Arabidopsis thaliana: one gene and its partner. Each later gene encodes a partner of the first gene's protein in a complex. Each region holds a gene or a part of one and is shown in the gene's direction. Other genes may lie near its edges.

Region 1 (11,130 bases):
ATTGCAGATACATTCTTAGGGTTTGAAGAGATAGATGGAGAAGAAGAGTTCAGGGAAGAGTTTGCTTGCCCTTTCTGTTCTGACTATTTTGATATTGTCTCTCTCTGCTGCCACATAGATGAAGATCATCCTATGGAAGCCAAAAATGGGGTAACTTTCTTATTTCTTTTTTAAAACAACCATTTGAAGCATAAAGATGCGTTTATACATTTCTGATTCATCACATGATTCTCAAAAGTTTAGACTGAGCGGTGTTGGTTCCTCCTCTGTTGTTACTTGGATGATATGACAAAGAAAACTGAGAATAATAGCATGTTTATAGCCGATTCACGAAGGAATAGTAGGATCAGCTGTATCTATTGCATCTGATATTTGGGGGATTTTGTTTGGATTCTATGAAAACTTAGCGTTTAATCTAGTGAACATTGTTATTGCAGGTATGTCCAGTTTGTGCGGTTAGGGTGGGTGTTGACATGGTTGCTCATATAACCCTTCAGCACGCTAATATTTTCAAGATATCCTTTTTTTCTTTCTCCCAAGTCATATATAACAATCAATCTTTTCTATCAGTGTTTCTATAGTCTGTTATTAAGTTGTGTTCTTGACAAAATATTACATGCACCGCAAGAGAAAACCAAGAAGAGGCGGGTCATATTCCACATTATCGATCTTAAGGAGAGAGTTTCCTGATGGAAACTTTCAGAGCCTCTTTGGAGGATCTTCGTGTATAGTATCGTCTTCCTCATCATCCAATGTAGCTGCTGACCCATTGTTATCGTCGTTCATTTCTCCTATTGCTGATGGGTTCTTCACCACGGAGTCATGCATATCTGCAGAAACGGGTCCTGTCAAGAAAACAACTATTCAGTGTTTACCCGAACAGTATGCTTACTTCTTCTCAATCATTTTACTTTGCCTAACCTCTTGTTAGTAAAAATCTGGTATTTCAAGACTGATTGAACCTAGATGATTCTAGGTTATTTTAAGTGTTTGGTCTATAACTTTCCATTGGAACATTTGCTTCAATGTTTTACTTTTGGGCACACTTGGGATTTATGAGCCAAACTGAAACTCTTTGATCAAGTTGAGTTCTTATACCCATATAGGACATGTATGGATCACTGATGAAGGTTTTGTGGATGATAGGAATGCGAAAAAAACTTCTCTTTCAGCTGAGGATCACAAGCAGAAGTTGAAACGCAGTGAGTTTGTTCGAGAGCTATTGAGCTCTACGATTCTTGATGACAGCTTATAATGGAGTATCGCTTCTGGTAACTTGTCAGCAATGAGGAAACTCCATGTTCTGTCTCAGCAGGACAAAGTACGAAATTATTGTTTGTGGGGAGCAAATAAAGGAGAGAGATTATGAATGAGTGTAACCTAAGAACACATTAGCTTCTGCGGTTAACGCCCCAATTGCTTGTAGGTCATGAGAAAAAAAACAAAAATGTATGTATTTCACGTATTCGCGTTCAATTATTCGTTTCCAGTTGTTTACTAGGATAAGAATGACCATATATGTTGAAAATTTGTCATGGAAACGGCTTCAGATTTTGTAGAGGCACATTCTTCTGCAATCAGATTTATAGCTTTATTATAGTTTCTGAAGCTCGTTAGTCGTTAAGCTGGGGTATCCCCAAACTAATCAACAACGAGACAAAATTACACCATTTACTGATTGTGATTATCGAAAAACTTAGACACTGAAAAGATATGGTAGGGGCTGCGCGAACGCAAACCCCCGCTGCCACAAATAATGACGTAGGCTCTTCCTCTAGGGAAGACCTTAAGCATAGCACCCTCCCGGTATGTGCAATGGGAGTCACTAGCCTAGGCCACTCGTCTTCTTGATCGCGAGTTGACCCCGTCCAGGTAAGTGATTTGCTCAAAGTCATGACTCTCTTATTTATACCCTGTTCCCGGAGCTTCTCTTGTTTCTTATTACCGATGTGGGACTTTTTGCTAAACTCCACATTTTCGCCGTTCTTAGGTTTTAGATTCTTTAATGGGCCGATCTCTTTGGTAGCCCAAAGTCAATTATTTAGTAAGATGTAGAATGGACCCATGTTCGGATCCAACTAAAATCGAATTATCAAGTTTTGCAATGTACAAAGTAAGATGTAGATTGTATTGGGCTTTAGGCTAAGATCTGAATAACCTAAAGAAACGAGTATGATAGATAAGTCAGTGAGTGTGATAAGCAATAATCTAAACACGTAAATGAGTTATTGAAGTTATCTAAATGCAGCCTTTTTTTGAAAGAAAAATAAAACTGTATAGTTCTTTCTTCTCAGCGGTTGTAATTTTTCGACCAAACTTGACACACTTGATGATTATGCTTTTTTGTGTGTTAAAAGAAATTTTATGTTTGCCAACGATCCAATCGAACATTGAGGAAAGGAAGTGACATAGCTAAAAGCAAATGTTCTTTAATTCCTTTACTGTCGTAAGCAAAGGTTCTTTAATTCCTTTAATACCATAAACGTACACACTCGACTTCCACTTGAGTGTCCTTAGTTCATGTATTCAAGTGGAATGCATATGTAGCTCTACTTCATTTTAATACTTTGTTATTTCGTGCATATTCAAAAGTTGGGTTGTCAATTTTCTTAAGAACATAGAAAAATATAGTTGGTGATTAGTCAGTAATCGTGTTTTTTGGAAGCTTATGAACAAGTGGAGCCAATGAGTGACTTACATATTAATCGCATAGGAGAATAAGATGAACAATATCTATAGCGACTGTTTTTTTATATATATTTTCAGAAGAAAAGCAAAATCTCTTTAAGAAAGCTAATGGGTTATTTTATATATCTTAGTGTTGTTAATCTTCTTTTATATAATAAGGTTGTAATTAGGTTTATGGTTAATTAGTGTCAAAACTAATTTCATCCCACAGAGCAGCTTTAGTATTGTTATCTATACGTGTCTAGAGGAGACGAATCAGACTGACAATTTTTATTCTTAGTAAATAATAATTATTCATCGTAGTTAAAATCTACAACTAATATGAAAACCATTTTACATGTAGAAATCTTTGAAAAAGACTAAAAAATGAGTAGATCGAATATGTATATTATATATACCAATATACAGTAGTAAACCAATTTTGAAAGTTCTTCATCTGTAGAAATATTTTGATTGTGGAATGTAGCTCAACATCAATCAATTACAAAACAATAGATCTACCCATCGTACGTTGACTATCATCTTGCATCCTCATCTACCTTTGGTGGCAGGTTGACCTTTTAATGTTGATATATAACATGCTTTGATATCTCTTTAATGCTTTAGACCAAAACATACTTTTTATTTATTGATAAAGTGTTTAGCAAAACGTACATTCATGAAAAGTACTATATCGATCGATGACTACAAATTCATATCTTCACCATAAAACATTTCTAGTTTTGCTTTGAGTCTTATGATTCGCATTTTGCAGTCTAGCTATATTCCCTACATTATTTGAAAATAAGCTATTTAATTATGTTGTTCTTTTGCCAACTACATTAAAATCGTTGATCACAAATCCATAAAAAGATTGTGCTTTAGATATATATTTACGATAAAGCAATAAACTAAGACTAGAACTGAGCTTTCTATATGTCAGTGAAAGTAGATATTTTTGTTAGAAGATAGTGTACGTACTACTGTACTATAGTGCATAATTCAATTAATTATTGTGTTTCGGATGAAAGAAAAGCTGCTAGTGGGATATGCTTAAGCACCAGTGCACGACGTATAAACAAAAGCAAGCACTAACGTAAACCCTTTTTTTTTCTTTGTCAAGCCCGTAAACCAATATTCTATTTTTCAATTTAACCTTATTTTATTTCTCTTAGATTTAATTCAGTTAAGTTCAATTCAACATCTAATATAAACCAAATTCTTAAATTAGGTAAAGGAAGCTAATCCATAATAATCAAGTCCAACACTAAAAGCAAAAGCAATCTCTTACAAATATATAACATGTATTATAATGTCTCCGGAATGATATCTATAGAGCTTAACTATTAGTTGTCTAATTTCAATCATAAACACGTGTACGGTCGGGTTCACAAAATAACTAGAACTATTTAAAGAAACATAACAAAAGAGGAAACAAAAGGACAAATGTGTGAAAAACATTTGAAAACCTAGTTAAGAATAACATCCTCAACAAGTGGAAATGCTATTGCGAAAATATGTTTGGTCTATTTACAGAATTATACAAAGGTTGATTCTGGCAGACTTTATATAATGTTTTGGTAGGGAATAAGTCACGAGCTTATAATAGCAAATATTGGCATGTCATTGTTGAAGATGTCAGATTGTTACTTTATTTTAGTTTTAATTATTTTATTATTTTTGAGTGGTGATCCTTTTTCCATATGACGTATATGCACATTTTTAATTTAAAAGCTTACAAGGACCACAATCATAATAATAAACGATGCAATTGACAAGCCAAGCACTACTCTTACCTAGTGGAAAAATATCAAAAATCAAAAATGAAATAAAAATGGATTTAAGTGGGATCATTGTAGCTTTTTAAAACAAAGCACGTCAAGCCAACGCTATAGTTAAAAACCAGACCAATTATTTTTAGTTGTTTTACATTTATATCTCCAACTCCAAATAAAGTAGAAAATTAAAAAAAAAAACAGAGCAGCATAAAAGTTGAAGGTGATTGGTTGATAAAGCTATAGTTGTCATCTACATTTGTAATTCATATATTAGTACGTCTCTCTCTTCTCTTTCTCTCTCTCCCTACTAAATACTAATGTGTGTGAATGAATCTCTGTTTCTTGTTTTGGAACCGAGATGGCTTCCTAACAATTGGGCTTTTCTCTGCCTCTTCCTAGGAATCTGAAGCTCTTCTCTACTCTCTACTCTATCACTCCATCTGTGTAAGTTTTACTCAACCTCTTTCTCTTTTTTTCTTTGCTTTATTCTTTTAGATTCACATAGGTTTTCGTGTGTTTGATTTTGACCAACATTTGGGATTTTATTTTACTTCTTTTTGGAGTTTGTTTGCTATTGGGGATCTCTAGTCTGTGAAAAAGATTTCAGTTCTTGCGTCTTATCTTCTCGTTTCACACAATCTTTTTTTCTTACTTTAGACAACAAGTCTGTCTCTTGATGATGATTCACATATGGGTTTTGTCATTCGTGTGGTTTTGCGTAATACCCAATCCCAAAGTTCTTTCCTTTCTTTCTTACAAGTTTTCTAAATTGGGTTTGAAATTTGACAAAGATTTCACATCCAACTCTTATTATTACTTTGTTGACTTTTTTTTTTTTGTTATCTTCCACAGGAACATATCTTTCTTATTCTTCTAGGCACTATCTATTTTTCACTTTTTGTAATTGGAATTTGGAGATGGCTATGCAAACTGTGAGAGAAGGTCTCTTCTCTGCTCCACAGACTTCTTGGTGGACTGCTTTTGGATCTCAGCCGTTGGCTCCGGAGAGTCTCGCCGGCGATTCTGACTCATTCGCCGGAGTTAAGGTCGGATCTGTCGGAGAGACAGGACAACGTGTGGATAAACAGAGCAACTCTGCAACGCACTTAGCTTTCTCACTTGGTAAACTCTTAACTTCTTTTGCCCTCAAATAGATGGTTCTAGTGAAAATTTCTGAATTTGTCAAAAGTGGCTTTTTTTGGAAAGTGCTAGTACATGTTTTACTAGTTATTTATAGGTATGACTGAGAGTGAACAGAACTGAGCTAAATTGTCCGAAAAGAGAATCTAAGATTCTACAAGATATAAAGATGTTTAAAAAGATATCTTTATGGTTCAAATTCTGGATTGTAAAAATGTTATTTGTTCTGTAGGTAATTGTGAATCTAAGAATGCGTTTGTGATCTGATTTGGAATAATTTTCACTATGTATGTATTAGGTGATGTAAAGAGTCCAAGACTTGTGCCAAAGCCTCATGGAGCTACTTTCTCAATGCAATCACCTTGCTTGGAACTTGGATTTTCTCAGCCACCGGTAAAAACTTTTCCGCATTGAAAAACATATAATGAATAAGCCTATCATGAGTTTCCTTTAATTTGTTTCTGAGTATTTAGTGTTTGTTGGCTGTTTACTTTGGTCATTTAGATCTATACAAAGTATCCCTATGGAGAACAACAATACTATGGAGTTGTTTCAGCCTATGGATCTCAGAGCAGGGTAATGCTTCCTCTAAACATGGAAACGGAAGATAGTACCATCTATGTGAACTCAAAGCAATACCATGGAATCATAAGGAGACGCCAATCCCGCGCAAAGGCTGCTGCTGTTCTTGATCAGAAGAAATTGAGTAGTAGATGCCGCAAGGTAACATATAGAAACTAGTTTGATACTTTTGTGCAAATGAGATTTTATTACTGAATTAGTGTGTTTGCTTTTGTTATGTATGTTGCAGCCATATATGCATCATTCGCGCCATCTCCATGCATTGCGGCGTCCTAGAGGATCCGGTGGGAGATTCTTGAACACTAAAAGTCAGAACTTGGAAAATAGCGGAACCAATGCAAAGAAAGGTGATGGAAGTATGCAGATTCAGTCTCAGCCTAAGCCTCAGCAAAGTAACTCTCAGAATTCTGAAGTTGTTCATCCGGAAAACGGGACCATGAACTTATCGAACGGATTAAATGTGTCGGGATCAGAAGTTACTAGCATGAACTACTTCCTAAGTTCTCCCGTTCATTCTCTTGGTGGCATGGTAATGCCTAGCAAGTGGATAGCAGCAGCAGCAGCAATGGATAATGGCTGCTGCAATTTCAAAACCTGATCCTTTACCGTTTCACAGTCAAACGGAGAGAGATAAAGAACTCTTGCCTTGGTATAAAGGATTTTCCTTTTTGCCAATCCGCTTTGGCTGTGAACAGGCAAATCATCTTTGGCTCATTCTCTATTAAGGTAACTTCGCCGTGAGGTGAAAAAAGCTTTGATATATTTATCTTCAGTGTAAAAGTAGTTAAAACTGGTGAAGAACAATGATGTGTTTGGTCACTAAACCCACTTGTTCCAACTAGTAGTGTGTGTTTTAAGAAAACTCTGTTATCTGATTTTGTAGCTCTCTCTGGCTTTGTGTGTTTCTCAAACAACTGTAACAACTTTTAAGTTATGTGGTTTATGTAACATATTTAAGACCTGTGTTTTTGTATATTTGGTCGAATTTATGTTATTATTTGCTTATTATCCAGGACTTATACAGCAAAGACAGAGTAAAAAAAATTCTGTTCCAAATCTAATGGTTGATCAATCTAGCTATCGATCCGAGATCGAAAAAAAATCGAGCAACGTTCAACCACTCAACTAAGACATTCCATTTGTCAACATGTGAAACGATATATTATATATATCCTAAACAACCATGGTTAGCTTTTAACCGCAGTTAATGTTACATGTATTAAACGTCTAAATTATAAATAGATGGCGGTTTTTTCCCAAGTAAATCTGTAGTGAAAAATAAATGCGGAAATGGCTACAAAAAACGTAAAATATTTAGAGTAAAAAAAAATAAAAACGTAAAATATTTAGCACTCTATAATATAATAAGATTATACTTGAAACTGCATTTACTTTTGTTTAAGAATAAATATTAAATAAATTTAACATTGGATTAGGTATATAATCTATTGTAGTGGCCAAAATCTATAATATCTTTAAGTTTTAGATAGCTATATGTGATATCCATGATATGATTAATAATATATTAGCAAATATGAAAGAAAATATTCATATTCTATTACTATGTTTTTACTGTAAAATGATCATGATTTTTTTTTGATATTTATAGCTTGGATAAATAATATAATATTATAAAATAATTCGCTTAGAGTATTAGTAATACTGTTTTATATATTTTTCGTAGGGTGAAAACAATTTTTCTGTAATATATATTTGTGAAGTTTTGTATTATTGTAGATGAAGAAGATATTGACACTCTATATACAGGATTATATGTTTTTGAATTTGTTTTTATATTATAGATGTAGTATTATGGTTATGATTGCGTTTTTAATTTTTGTGTTATATGTTTGTATAATACTAATGACAAAATCTGTATATAGTCTAGTAAAATTTGGGCAATTATTTAAATGGGTAAAAAGTCACTATGATAACGACACATCAGCATGACAATTTTGTTAATAACACTTGAGGATAAAGTTTATTTTATAGAATGATTATCAATTTATATAGGGGATATCAATCGATTCTGATAATTCATCTTGGTTGGACTTTGGTCAATTTTGGTTTTGTGTTGGTAGTATTGTCTGAAAATATTATGAAATTCCAGCTGGGTTGAATTATCAAATGAAAACAAAAATCTAAAACCGAGTGCTAGACTTATTGTTTTGTAAATAGTTGATTGGTGAATTTCGTATAAATACCAGTACTAAACTCATTGGTCCTTGTTCGACTAGTTCTTGTTGAACTGGTTGTTGACCTTGACTAGCAGCCCGATTCTTAGCCCGTTTTGATTCATTGGCCAGATTTGGTAGCTTGGGTTTTTGGTGTCTTCCACCTATCGGTCTTCGTGGTTCATCGTCATCATTCATTGTAAAATTCCTGAAATATAGAACATAAAAACTAATAAATCAAATTAAAACAATCCATATGACCTTAATTAATTAGTAATCAATATTGTGATTCCCGTAACTAATGTTTAGTAATCAAGTTAAGAGAATCTAGACCTGTACCATGACTTGATATACTCCTGTAACTAGAATATATGGTGAGAGAGACAGAAAATACATAAATAAGCATGTTAGATATATATATTGATTGTACTATCATTATGGCTAAAACTGATGAGTACCAAATTTGTACAGCTGCTAGAAACAAACTCGAAGTTCAAACTCATCATGAGAACTAAGGAATCAACACCCATATCTCCAATCTATGGAACACCGACCTAGACTGATGATGATCGTTAATTTTATATAGAGCAATTTTACGGTGTGATATTTGAACATTAGAAATATTGTGTAATTTTTTCACTTTTATTTTGCTATTCTTTGCTACTCGTATTTTAAAGTGAATAACGATTTGTTCAGCTAAAAATAAATAATTTTTGAATTTTTCTTGTATTTATATATATTTTATATTAAATTAAACTGAAAGGATCAAAATAAATAAATTTAGAGAGCAATTTTTATTTAATTTTATTTAATTTTGAGAGCAAATTAAGTTTCTCTCTCGGCGAGGAGTACGTTGACCCTAACGAGGAGCTAAAACATCCGACGTGGTTTAAAGTCCCTGAATGGGATGTGGACAGCTTCGAAGGTCTCGAGTACAATTCCTCTGAATATAAAAATGAATTCTCTAATGACGAAGATGAAAATCAATGGCGCCGCTTTAAGCGCCAGCTCATCGAGAATAAGGTAACCGTATTGAATTTGAACTTAATTTGTTAGCTGGATAAAGAGTAAATCTTGACTAGTGCGTGTGCCTGAATTTAGGGGTTTTATGTGGAGCGAGAGCTTTGGCCATGGTACAACTACTCGGATTACAAAGTAGTCCCTAATTTGGATTTGCCTGCCAGTTTCGGGCAAACCTACCGAGTACTTTGCAGAGATGGCTTGTCTCTGTCTCAAAAAGTACAACGAAGAGAAAAGAATCGAAAATGTCGGTATATTATTTTTGGCTAATTATCACTCAACTCTTTACAAGTGTATTTATCTAATAAATCTGGTTCGTTTTCTGATTGTTTCAAGGGTTTCGATGTGGAGTTTGTGGAAGTGGTGCGAGGTATATTTTCAGCAGGATCAAGGTCAAAGTCGTTCATCACATTCATGGCTAGGGAGAAACCTGATGGACCTCCTGTTGAGTATCAAGCTAAGGTTTGGTGTACGGTTGTTCGAAACCAGAACTATCCCATCCTCTGTAGACGGGCTCTCACAACAAAGCCTCCAAGCCAAAACTAGTAAAGGTATGGTTTTTGACCCAGACTTTCTTTTGCTGTTGATACTTTATATAGCCTGAATTGTTGTGCGTATTTGGATATATTAAGTTTTAGATTTAGAAAGATAGGCAGATTAATAACCATCTCAGCGAATTGTCTTGGCTCATCATTTCTGTCACTACAATTATCTAACTTGGAGGATAGCTGAAGTGCATTGTCTTATTACTATTTGTTTCCATGCTAGTGAGTATAGGGATTAAGGGTGAGAAGTATCTTCTGACTGTTTAGATCTATTTGAAACTGTAAACTGTCTGTGCATGACTTCAGAATAAGATATCTCTGTAGGTAGACAAGGAGATATTTTCCTCTTCTAAAGTGATTCTAGAAGGCCATTTTTATTAGAGTCTTAAGTTGCTGACTTGTTTTTATCACTGTTCTCTTTCGTCTGGGACTGGAAATTAGACTAGCAGCTGATCGAGAAGATGGAATTCGCTGGCTGATGCAGAGGCTGGAGTTCGCACCAGGTCATCTAATATGAAGTTGTTTGTATTCGACTTAGTCGTACTAAATCACTTCTATTGTGTTGTGCCAATATTTATGTTTTAGGTACTTATCTCTATGTTAGCTAAATAACTGGTCTAAGAGACTTCAAATTAAATGTTTGTGTTTTATAACTTTGGAAGCATGGCATGTGTCTCCTTTGATGCAGTATCCTCGCTTTTGGGATTTCTTTCTTTTATTATGTTTTCATATTATGTATGACACATGAGTAAAAATCAAACATATCCATCCATATACTAATATCAATTACAAGGATCTAACAAAATGTAAAATCATGGTAGATAGAAAACAATAACTTTAACATATTCAAGTGATCAATGTAGCAACCTTTCTTTCTTCGATCACGCTCTGTACGAAGTCAAGGGCGAATGGAACAATTTAATTGGCCACTCTGGCAATGATGTAGCAATTTCACTGCGTGGTGTTTGAACACTTGCAACATTGTGTTTACTCTCACTTTCATTTTGCTAATACATTTGCTCAGCTAAAAATAAATAATTTTTGAATTTTTCTTGCGTTATATATATTGTTATTTTTATGTTAAATTAAGATCAAAATAAATAAATTTAGAGAGCAATTTTTATTTAATTTAAAGATAAACACTTATGGTCGCACAAATATTTGTGATATTGGTTTAAATCGATAAGAACCGTTTTTGTTAATCAAAACCGGGCCAACCCTAAA
Region 2 (9,222 bases), on another chromosome or scaffold:
GATGTAAAATTAGCAGTTTCAGTTTTGAGTACTTTGCTCTTAATTTTGTCTCTTGGTTGATTCCTTTTCTCTGATGTAGAATTGAGTGGGCTGATCAGTAACTAAGTTCTTCTTATGCAGGTACCATATAAGGTTCAATGCTATATAACTTCAATCTATTTAGCCGTCAAAACATTTTATATCTGCTTCGTTGCTTTAAACGTTATGTTTTCTCTATGACCTATGACCTGCGTTTATACTGCTTTATAATCTTTATTAAGGCTTGATGGTTATCATTTCTGGTTGCGGATTTTATGATTCATCCTTCAACTTAGAATCTCCTGTGTTTTTTTCAGGTAACAGATAAACACGAATGTTTTCAGAAGTAGAAATGGCTCGAGACGTGGCTATATGTGCCAAACACTTGAATGGCCAATCGCCGCACCAACCGATTCTATGCAGACTACTCCAAGATCTAATACACGAGAAAGCGTGCAGGGAACACGGATTCTATCTCGGCATCACCGCTCTAAAAAGCATCGGTAACAACAAGAACAACAACATCGACAACGAAAACAATCATCAAGCAAAAATCCTCACATTCCCGGTGTCCTTCACATGCCGCACATTCTTGCCTGCAAGAGGAGATATCTTGCAAGGGACTGTAAAAAAAGTGTTGTGGAACGGAGCTTTTATCAGGTCAGGACCACTCAGATACGCATACCTCTCACTCTTGAAAATGCCACATTATCATTATGTCCACTCACCATTGTCGGAGGACGAGAAACCGCATTTTCAGAAAGACGACCTCTCAAAGATTGCTGTTGGAGTTGTTGTGCGGTTTCAGGTGTTGGCTGTGCGGTTTAAAGAGAGACCACACAAGAGAAGAAACGACTATTATGTTCTTGCAACTTTGGAAGGCAATGGTTCATTTGGTCCCATCTCTCTTACAGGGTCAGATGAGCCATACATGTAACCCAAACAAGGCACCAAAAGTTAAAAGTCTTTAGATACTTTTTTGCTTTTAGGTTAACCTCAGATTCGTTGGGGTTGTTTCGTGTTAAACTGGATCGACAAGAAATATTTGTAAACAAAGTTGACAGAACCAATTACATTCTATTAATTTCAATTGGTCAATACCGACAGAGTTACATATTGATATAATACTAATACATACAAAAGCATATAAGAAAATTAGTTGCTGAGCTATCTTCAAACTGCATCAATGGTGTGGTAACTCATTGAAAAGGATCATCTTTCATCTAAACCTCTGTGAATCAGACCACAGATTTGGATTTTTCATCACCATCGAGACATCTTCCATCTTCGAATTCATCAAAAGACGAGTCTCAGCAGGCTCTGGATACTCTTGAGTGCTCTAGTAATCGCCATCGATCAAACCCTCGAAATCTATGAGTTGATCAAAATCTAGGAATTGATCAAGATCTATCTCTTGATCTTCCAAGTTTCCTGTAGGTTTGTCGTTACTCTCAAAAATCGCCAAGATCTGATCATCGAATACAACCATCTCCGTTTCTTCTTTGAGACGATCATCATCAGGAACGCCAAAAGTTGCAGAACTTAACTGAAGATTTAGGGTTTCGTGTGAAACAAGATTCTTAATCTTGATGTCGTTGTTAATCTTGACGTCCTCTTGATGATCTCTTCGATAATTATTCACAGATTCCAATTCCTTCAGATCTCTCAACATCGTAGACATCGACTCAATCGCTTTTCTCAACTCCTCCGAATCCTCCGATTTAGCAAGACTCTCGTCTTCCACCATAACTCTAACCCTAGATTCTCTTTACGAACAAGACCCTGATCCTTGAGGAAAGCGGAAACAACAGAATCAACAGAGGAATGGCCGAAGGAGTAGAAGGAGACGTGAGAGTTGGAAGAACAAGGAGTCGTCAAGATCGCAACCTGTGAATCGGAGGAGAGAAGACATAATAGCTCCGCGGCTTTACTGTAAAGACCGGTACGACGTTTGGAGAAACAAACGGCTCGTGACTCTTTCTTCTGAATCTTCTCAATCGAAATTCTTCTCTTTAGTCCTCCCATTCTGCTTTCTTTGATTTCACAGAGATTTTGAGGGACACTACCTCTCTCTCTTTATAGATAGTGTATGTAACAAGAAACCTAGAAACAATTGTATATATAAAAATGTCGGTGGTTTTATAGGAGGGATCTAGGCCCGTATCAGGCCCATTGCAAGAGGAAATTCAAAATTTTGTCTTCTTTTGGCCCAAATCAATTTAATAAAATCTGAATTAGGGGTTTTGTTTTTTGATTTCATGATATAAACGACAAAAACCAAAAGTACATATATAACCAGAACTCAAGAGTCTTTTATAATAAAGGCAAACCGAAAAAACAGAACCGGTTATCAAGTCTCTCTCTTCCTTTTCTATCCAAATAACATCCACTTGTAATAATCTTATCGACAAACAATCGACCTATAACTACCCACGTGTCATCACGATACGATTATTATCCTCTCTGATCCAACGGACCCAAAACATCTATCTCTCTTTCTCGACCTTTTGTCTCCTCGATCTAAAGATGGCGGATTCGGACAACGATTCAGGAGGACACAAAGACGGTGGAAATGCTTCGACACGTGAGCAAGATAGGTTTCTACCGATCGCTAACGTTAGCAGGATCATGAAGAAAGCACTTCCTGCGAACGCAAAAATCTCTAAGGATGCTAAAGAAACGGTTCAAGAGTGTGTATCGGAATTCATAAGTTTCATCACCGGTGAGGCTTCTGACAAGTGTCAGAGAGAGAAGAGGAAGACAATCAACGGTGACGATCTTCTTTGGGCGATGACTACGCTAGGGTTTGAGGACTACGTGGAGCCTCTCAAGGTTTATCTGCAAAAGTATAGGGAGGTGGAAGGAGAGAAGACTACTACGGCAGGGAGACAAGGCGATAAGGAAGGTGGAGGAGGAGGCGGTGGAGCTGGAAGTGGAAGTGGAGGAGCTCCGATGTACGGTGGTGGCATGGTGACTACGATGGGACATCAATTTTCCCATCATTTTTCTTAATTGTAAAATGATAAAAGCAAATTTTCATTTTTATTAATTAATGATATATATATATATATGTTTAACTTTTAGTATAATGTTTACAGAATTTTTTTTTTAAAACTAGGTTCAACCCACTAACGTAACAAAATAAATATTAAATTTATGATTCGTAAGGTTAGGGTGTTACTTTTTTCAAAAAAAAAGAATAAAAGAAGGTTAGGGTGTTTATTCGTGAAAGATGAAAGTAACAAAAGTAAACTAGGATATCGAAGTTTATGGTTGAATTAGGAGGAAAAATCAAATGAGAGAGACATACATTTTTTTTAGAGTAAAATGTTTCCTAAAAAATTGTAGTGGGAATATAATTATAGCATCAAGCTAAAAAGAGTCATTGAAAAACTTTTTCTACTTTGATGCAGGGAACATGAGATGTAATCAAGGGCATATCTAAAACGTAACCTTTGATCTTTGATCTTTGATCTTTTTTTTTTTTTTTTTTTTTTTTGAAATTCAGGAGGTTCTGGGCCGAAGCCCGTAATTCCTCCAGGCCCGAAACCACAGCATGTAATATTAGTTTTTCTTTTAAAGTGTTGTGATGCGAAAATTTCATATTTGAGTCCAGGTTTTTAAGAGCTTGGGTTTTCCATTAGTCCATGTTATGCCACAAATATTCAAAGATTTTTTCTTACAAGCAATACTCAAATATCAAAACTAAGTTTCTATCAAAAAACTAAACAAAACATCAGCCAGGTAAAATCAGGAAAAAATAAAGAATTATCAACAAATACCATGACTACAATAACCAAACTGCTTTCCATTATTGTTTTTGTCAAGCAAATTGTATTCAACATTGAATTTCAAAACAGAGAAGATCATACGGTGTAGAATTAAAAACAAGATTGAAACGATACATTATAAATAACGACAAAGGCTTGAAAATTTATCAGATAGGAAGTTCCGACGAACCTAAATGAAAGTCTCCATGACAGACTCCATATTGAAGACTAATTTCAAAAGATTAAAGAGAAACTCATGATAATAATAGCTCGTACAGCTAGTGCTTCTTCCATCGAAGTAGAGCTTTCAAGAAATCACTCCAAAAAGGAGTTGTATAGGAAGGATCTCTCCAAAACATTCCAAAGCAATACAATAGGAGAAGCTTTTACCCTTTTTGGGTCGTGAAGGACCATGCTTTGTGCTCTGTTCTCACAACATTGAGAACTTTGTAGTAGAGCGAAGCTGGAAAAGAGTTGTGGCGTTGTGGATGCATGTGGTACTCTTATGCCAAACCTCGTAAACACACGCATGACATGCTTGAAGCAGTGCAATGGAGATGTCATTGCTTGTAGAAGTTGTTGATGACAGGCGGATGGTGCTGGAATCATTCAATAGGTAGGGTTGTAGGCAACAACTTTACCATAATTTTGTTTCAGATTTGAGCTGAAAATGAATAATTTAAGTGCAAGTGGTGAATTCCTAGATTCTCCCTCAATGCCACATTAAAGCAAGTTTGTTCAACATGACATCTCAAAAAAAATCCTATCAATAGTAGGGTTGAGGTTAAAAATAAAGAGTTATAAACTGCGAAAGCATGTTTAGGAATTCTCACCTTATGCCATACCAAAACCAACTAAAGAACTAATGGTTTAGATATTCTGATGTTATGCCAAGCATTTAGGGAGGAGAATAATTCGGAATCATTTCATCAATTATCCAAACTATCATTCATTGTAGGAGTAACTAGAATTCTTCAGTTCATTAATGGGAAATTAATAATAATTTTTAATTTATTGTGTCAAATAACTAACTTTCTGTAAAATATTAAAAAAGAAGGAAAAATGAGAGATTTTCCAAACACTTCAAAAATCACTTTTGATTTAATAAAAAATTTTCTGTCTCTTAAAATAAAAGCTCTATGTTCTCTATAAAAAAGCTTTCTCCGCCGCTGCCTAAGATTACTTGTTTCAGTGGCTTTTTTCAGCATCGGAAGCGAGGTTTCTTTACTTTCTTTCTTTAGTTTTGATTTCTTTTTGTTTTGGTATGATCTGAATCATATTTTCTTCCAATGGTTTAAGATCTAAATTCTCATATCTAGATCAATAAAGTCTAAATCCTTTCATCTACGGGATTTGCTGCTTGTTTTTTACTCCTTCATCTACAGCTTTAGTTCTGGTCGTTCCAACCATGCCAGAGGTAGATCTATTCGATTCTTCAACGCCTTAGATGCATACTTCTCACCATTGAAGATCTCGATCTCCTTCCTTTCTTTATGAGATTTTTTTCCTTTGGGTCTTCGGGTGTTGGTTTGTCTCACCGCCGTTTACGGTAAGAAGAATATTGATTTTATTTTCTTTGAATGGATCTCTAATCTCAGATCTATATTTTGTTTTAATTTGGATTTAGAATTTGTATTAGATTTTTGAGTTCTTAAGTGATAAGTTTGGGAAGTTTTGGATCAGTTTTAATATGTTTTTTTTATTCTGGAATTTTTCCTTTTTGTATATGTATTTGTCTCTAGAAAATCCGTTTTCTCGCCGGCTTAACTTCTGAACTGGTTATTTTTCTTACCCGGCATATGTATTTTACCCCTTATGATATTTTTTATAAATGAAATCTTAATTTTTACTGAAAAAAAAGAAACAGAGAGATTTTCCAAAAAGGAAAGAAAATTTTTATGCTTCTAGTGGTGAAGGGCACATTAGCATGAAGAGGATGGACTGAATTTGAAAGACCCATGAATATGCACATGCTCTTGTTCCCTACGCCTCTCATGGGTCCTGAATTTAATAACGTATTCCCACGTAACTAGGAAAGAAAAAAGAAACTTAAAACCATGAATATTTGTTTTGTAGTTTTAAAATTGGTTTTGTAATGAAGATTTTAGTTCGTTTCAAAATCTTTTTGGAAACCATTTTAGTCAAAAAATATACCAACAGTTTTCTTAGTTTTCTTAAGAAATTGTTATGTGAAATGTTTTTAGATACATCAAAAATAGTTACAAATTTCAAATATAATCTGTAAAGCCAATAAATGAGAAAATAAAGAGGAAAAGAATAATAAAGTAGGAAAAGTGGAGATAAATTATTTAACGTAAATTTACCTATCATAAATTATATATAGTATTAGCATTTTAAATTTTAAATAGCAAAAATACGAACTCTATAGATTTACTATCACAATTACATATTAAAAAATGATTTCTACTAATTAAGAGATGAAAACAAAAACACAGACTAATTTCAAAAAAAAAAAAAAAGACATATTTAAAGTTATTTTTTTCGTAAACAATTATATTTTCCTATATACTTCCAATATTTTAAATTAAAAACACATGATCATAACAATACCAAAAAAAAAAAATCAATGCATATTGTCCTCTTTTTTTTTTGTTCATGATCTGTTCTTGAACTTCTCCATTGCTCTTGGAGCTGAAAAAAAAACACGAGCATTATTGGAAAAACAGAAAAGAGCCACTTATAGAAACGAACAGAAAAGAAAACTTACCAAGTCCAATTGCTTCGGATCCTTTCATTATGCGCAAACGTTTGCATGACTCGACAAACATCCTGAAATCGGGATTTGGGTTGGTGACTAAATTTAGAAATCTATTGAAAGTGAAAGAATATGTGCCAGCTACAAATGAGGTAACATATTGATGAGTTAGTATTTATATATAAACATCTTCTCTGTCTCTGAGTTCTGTCCCATGCCAACCAAAAGATGGCTGTGCGTGTTTATAACACATGGATATTGATTATCATTTTGTGTATTTTTTTGATAAGTAATATCAATAATAATGCTTTAGAGAATATTGTTTTTTTTGTTTAGAGAATAATTTTGGTCATAATAATGAAAGCAAGAAGAATGAGGAAACTCACGGCCAGGGGACATCACCAACGAGCATCCAGTCACCATCTTTGTCCTCGTAGCTTGGAACATACTCAGAACTGTTCAACAGATCCATCACTTTACTCTCGTTCATGAAATCTATCATCCCTTGTGCTCCATAACTCCCTTAATTAATCAAAATCCCAAAACTTATCATATTAATTAGTCGTATATGGAAAAAACTGTATCGTTAAAAAGAAAAAATTGTAAGTAAACACAAAAATAATAATGATAATTCGACTTATATGTCTGAAAATGCATACCCATGGTAAAGGAGCTGAACATTTTGGCCAAGGCATCAGAGAGATCCTTGTAGCTGGTGTACATCTTGAGGTCAACCTTCCGAAGATAAGGAGCTCCATCCATGGAAACCTTCACAAAGGCGACGGTTCCTCCACCACTACTCATTGCCTCCTCTGCTTCGCCGCTCTTCTGATTAGCCATAACATTTTTCCGGTAGTTCCTCACCGGTGGCCAACCCACCACTTGTGCTCTGCATAGAATATAACAACACACACACACATTCAATAACGTTATTACTTATGCATCCTTACATCTTTCATATATATGTATTTTAAGAACTTTTATATCAACTATTAGTCTTTTTATCTCAAAAAAAAAAAAAAAAAGTCTTCCCTTTTAAGGAAGGTCTTCTTCTTAAGGAATTGTGTAAATAGAACTTACTTAGCAGGAGGCTTAGAAGGGTCTTTAAGGAAGGTCTTCTCCTTGGGAGCTCCATTAGTGTTGAGATCCACATGTCCTTGTTTGTTAGATTGAAGATTAAGTTTGAGATCAACGGTCTCGGAGAAGCCTCTCTTGTTCCCAACACCCGACTTGGCCGGACTTTCAACGGTTTCAGTGCCTCCGGGGAGGCCAAGACAAAGCTCCGTCTCCTTAAGGTTCATATCTCTTCTTGCTGTCTATATATGTCTTAAATCAGAATATGTTTTCTCTCTCTCTCGATAACTCTTGTTGGGGGTGAAGTTTGATAAGAGGGGAACAAGAATGAGGTAAGGAGATAGAGTCGATAATATAAGGGACGAAGAAAGAGACTATAGTACTATACTATAGTGGTAGAAAAAAAACGGTTTAAACCCGTGATTAGTCGTCTGACTTTTCTAATTCTTTAACTATTAAAATACAAAGGTCTATTGTGTATCTGCTGTAGTGCATGGAATCCCTACATTTTCTTGCAATGTGGGTTCTCAACACGTGGCCTTCTGCTAAACGTTGGTAGGTTGTTTTAGTAAATCTCACTCTTTCATGTCAATAACCTGAAAAGTATAGGTGATGAGTGATGACCGTTGATTGTTGAATGATATTGTTACATCTCTTAGGTTTTGAAAATACGAACATACGTTTGCCCAAAATATGTTAAGTAAATAAAAATGAAAATATATTAAGATTCCGAGTAAATAAAAATGATATTATAAAAACATGAGTACCTCTTTCAACATGTCTAAGTAATGTCTTTATTGATCACTTCTATGATTAATGTACTTTTTTAATTGCCTACCAATTTGTTAGACGTTGCCTCCATTGGTCAACTCTTCACGTATCACATCACATGTATACAGAAATTGGGCGGTAAAAATTCCGTGAATCGTATTTGGTCAACATTATTATATGATTTAATCATATAATTATATTTCTTAAAACTTTCGAAGTCAGCATCGGTGAAAATAGTTATGACCAACTAAGTTTGATCCTAATTAAGACGTACAACAAATAATCAATGATAACAATCTTAGTATATATTTTACTTCAATTTGGACCATCTTCTCTCAACATTGTCCTGAAATTCCGGGAAATGATGGGGCAATTTTAGGAAAATGGGCTTGTTCAGTTGTCCATTAAATCATTATTAAAGAGCATAATCAAATTAAAATAAGCTTGTCTTCCGAACCTTCCAATCATGTGGTTCAAGTATAACCACACATGAACGTATAATTTGTTCGACGGAAAGTGCGGCTTTGTGACTATATTTATTAGCATGCTCAATTACATTTTCTTTGTTTAGACGTATTATAATCAAATTTCTTATCATTGATTTTAGTTAATCATTGGATATCAAAAATAATAAGAATATAATGAGCCGTTCAAAACTTAAATAAGCTAAAAGTGCACATGGATTTTACTTGCGATCTCTATATAAACTATACCACCCATTGTTTTGTGGTTATGGGATAATATCCTTTGGAAATCTTTGGAAATAAAATGACTATTATTTTAGATACAATAAAATATTCCAATGATACATAATCCTTTTAATTAATAACACCATAATGAATACTTTACTTAAAAAGTTAAAATATCCAGCAA

Evidence for each region.
Region 2: NF-YA2 (region 1) and NF-YB3 share a complex: the UniProt entries of both Arabidopsis thaliana proteins name them as parts of the heat stress-inducible transcriptional complex.

Annotation. Positions count from the first base shown.
Region 1 is NC_003074.8:1,672,557-1,683,686, reverse strand, and holds NF-YA2 (nuclear factor Y, subunit A2), read left to right. Parts: upstream 1-4,718; 5' UTR 4,719-5,135; coding exon 5,136-5,181; intron 5,182-5,297; coding exon 5,298-5,567; intron 5,568-5,883; coding exon 5,884-5,978; intron 5,979-6,089; coding exon 6,090-6,308; intron 6,309-6,396; coding exon 6,397-6,765; 3' UTR 6,766-7,183; downstream 7,184-11,130. Other genes in the region: AT3G05700 (Drought-responsive family protein), read left to right, coding at 8-150, 438-515, 617-882, 1,147-1,255; AT3G05685 (Cystatin/monellin superfamily protein), read left to right, coding at 8,779-8,832, 9,188-9,364, 9,443-9,544, 9,698-9,907. UniProt on the Arabidopsis thaliana protein: Stimulates the transcription of various genes by recognizing and binding to a CCAAT motif in promoters.
Region 2 is NC_003075.7:8,342,119-8,351,340, forward strand, and holds NF-YB3 (nuclear factor Y, subunit B3), read left to right. Parts: upstream 1-2,230; 5' UTR 2,231-2,544; coding exon 2,545-3,030; 3' UTR 3,031-3,206; downstream 3,207-9,222. Other genes in the region: AT4G14520 (DNA-directed RNA polymerase II-like protein), read left to right, coding at 353-955; AT4G14530 (agamous-like MADS-box protein), read right to left, coding at 1,358-1,765; IAA14 (indole-3-acetic acid inducible 14), read right to left, coding at 6,461-6,578, 6,891-7,026, 7,164-7,393, 7,585-7,805. UniProt on the Arabidopsis thaliana protein: Component of the NF-Y/HAP transcription factor complex. The NF-Y complex stimulates the transcription of various genes by recognizing and binding to a CCAAT motif in promoters.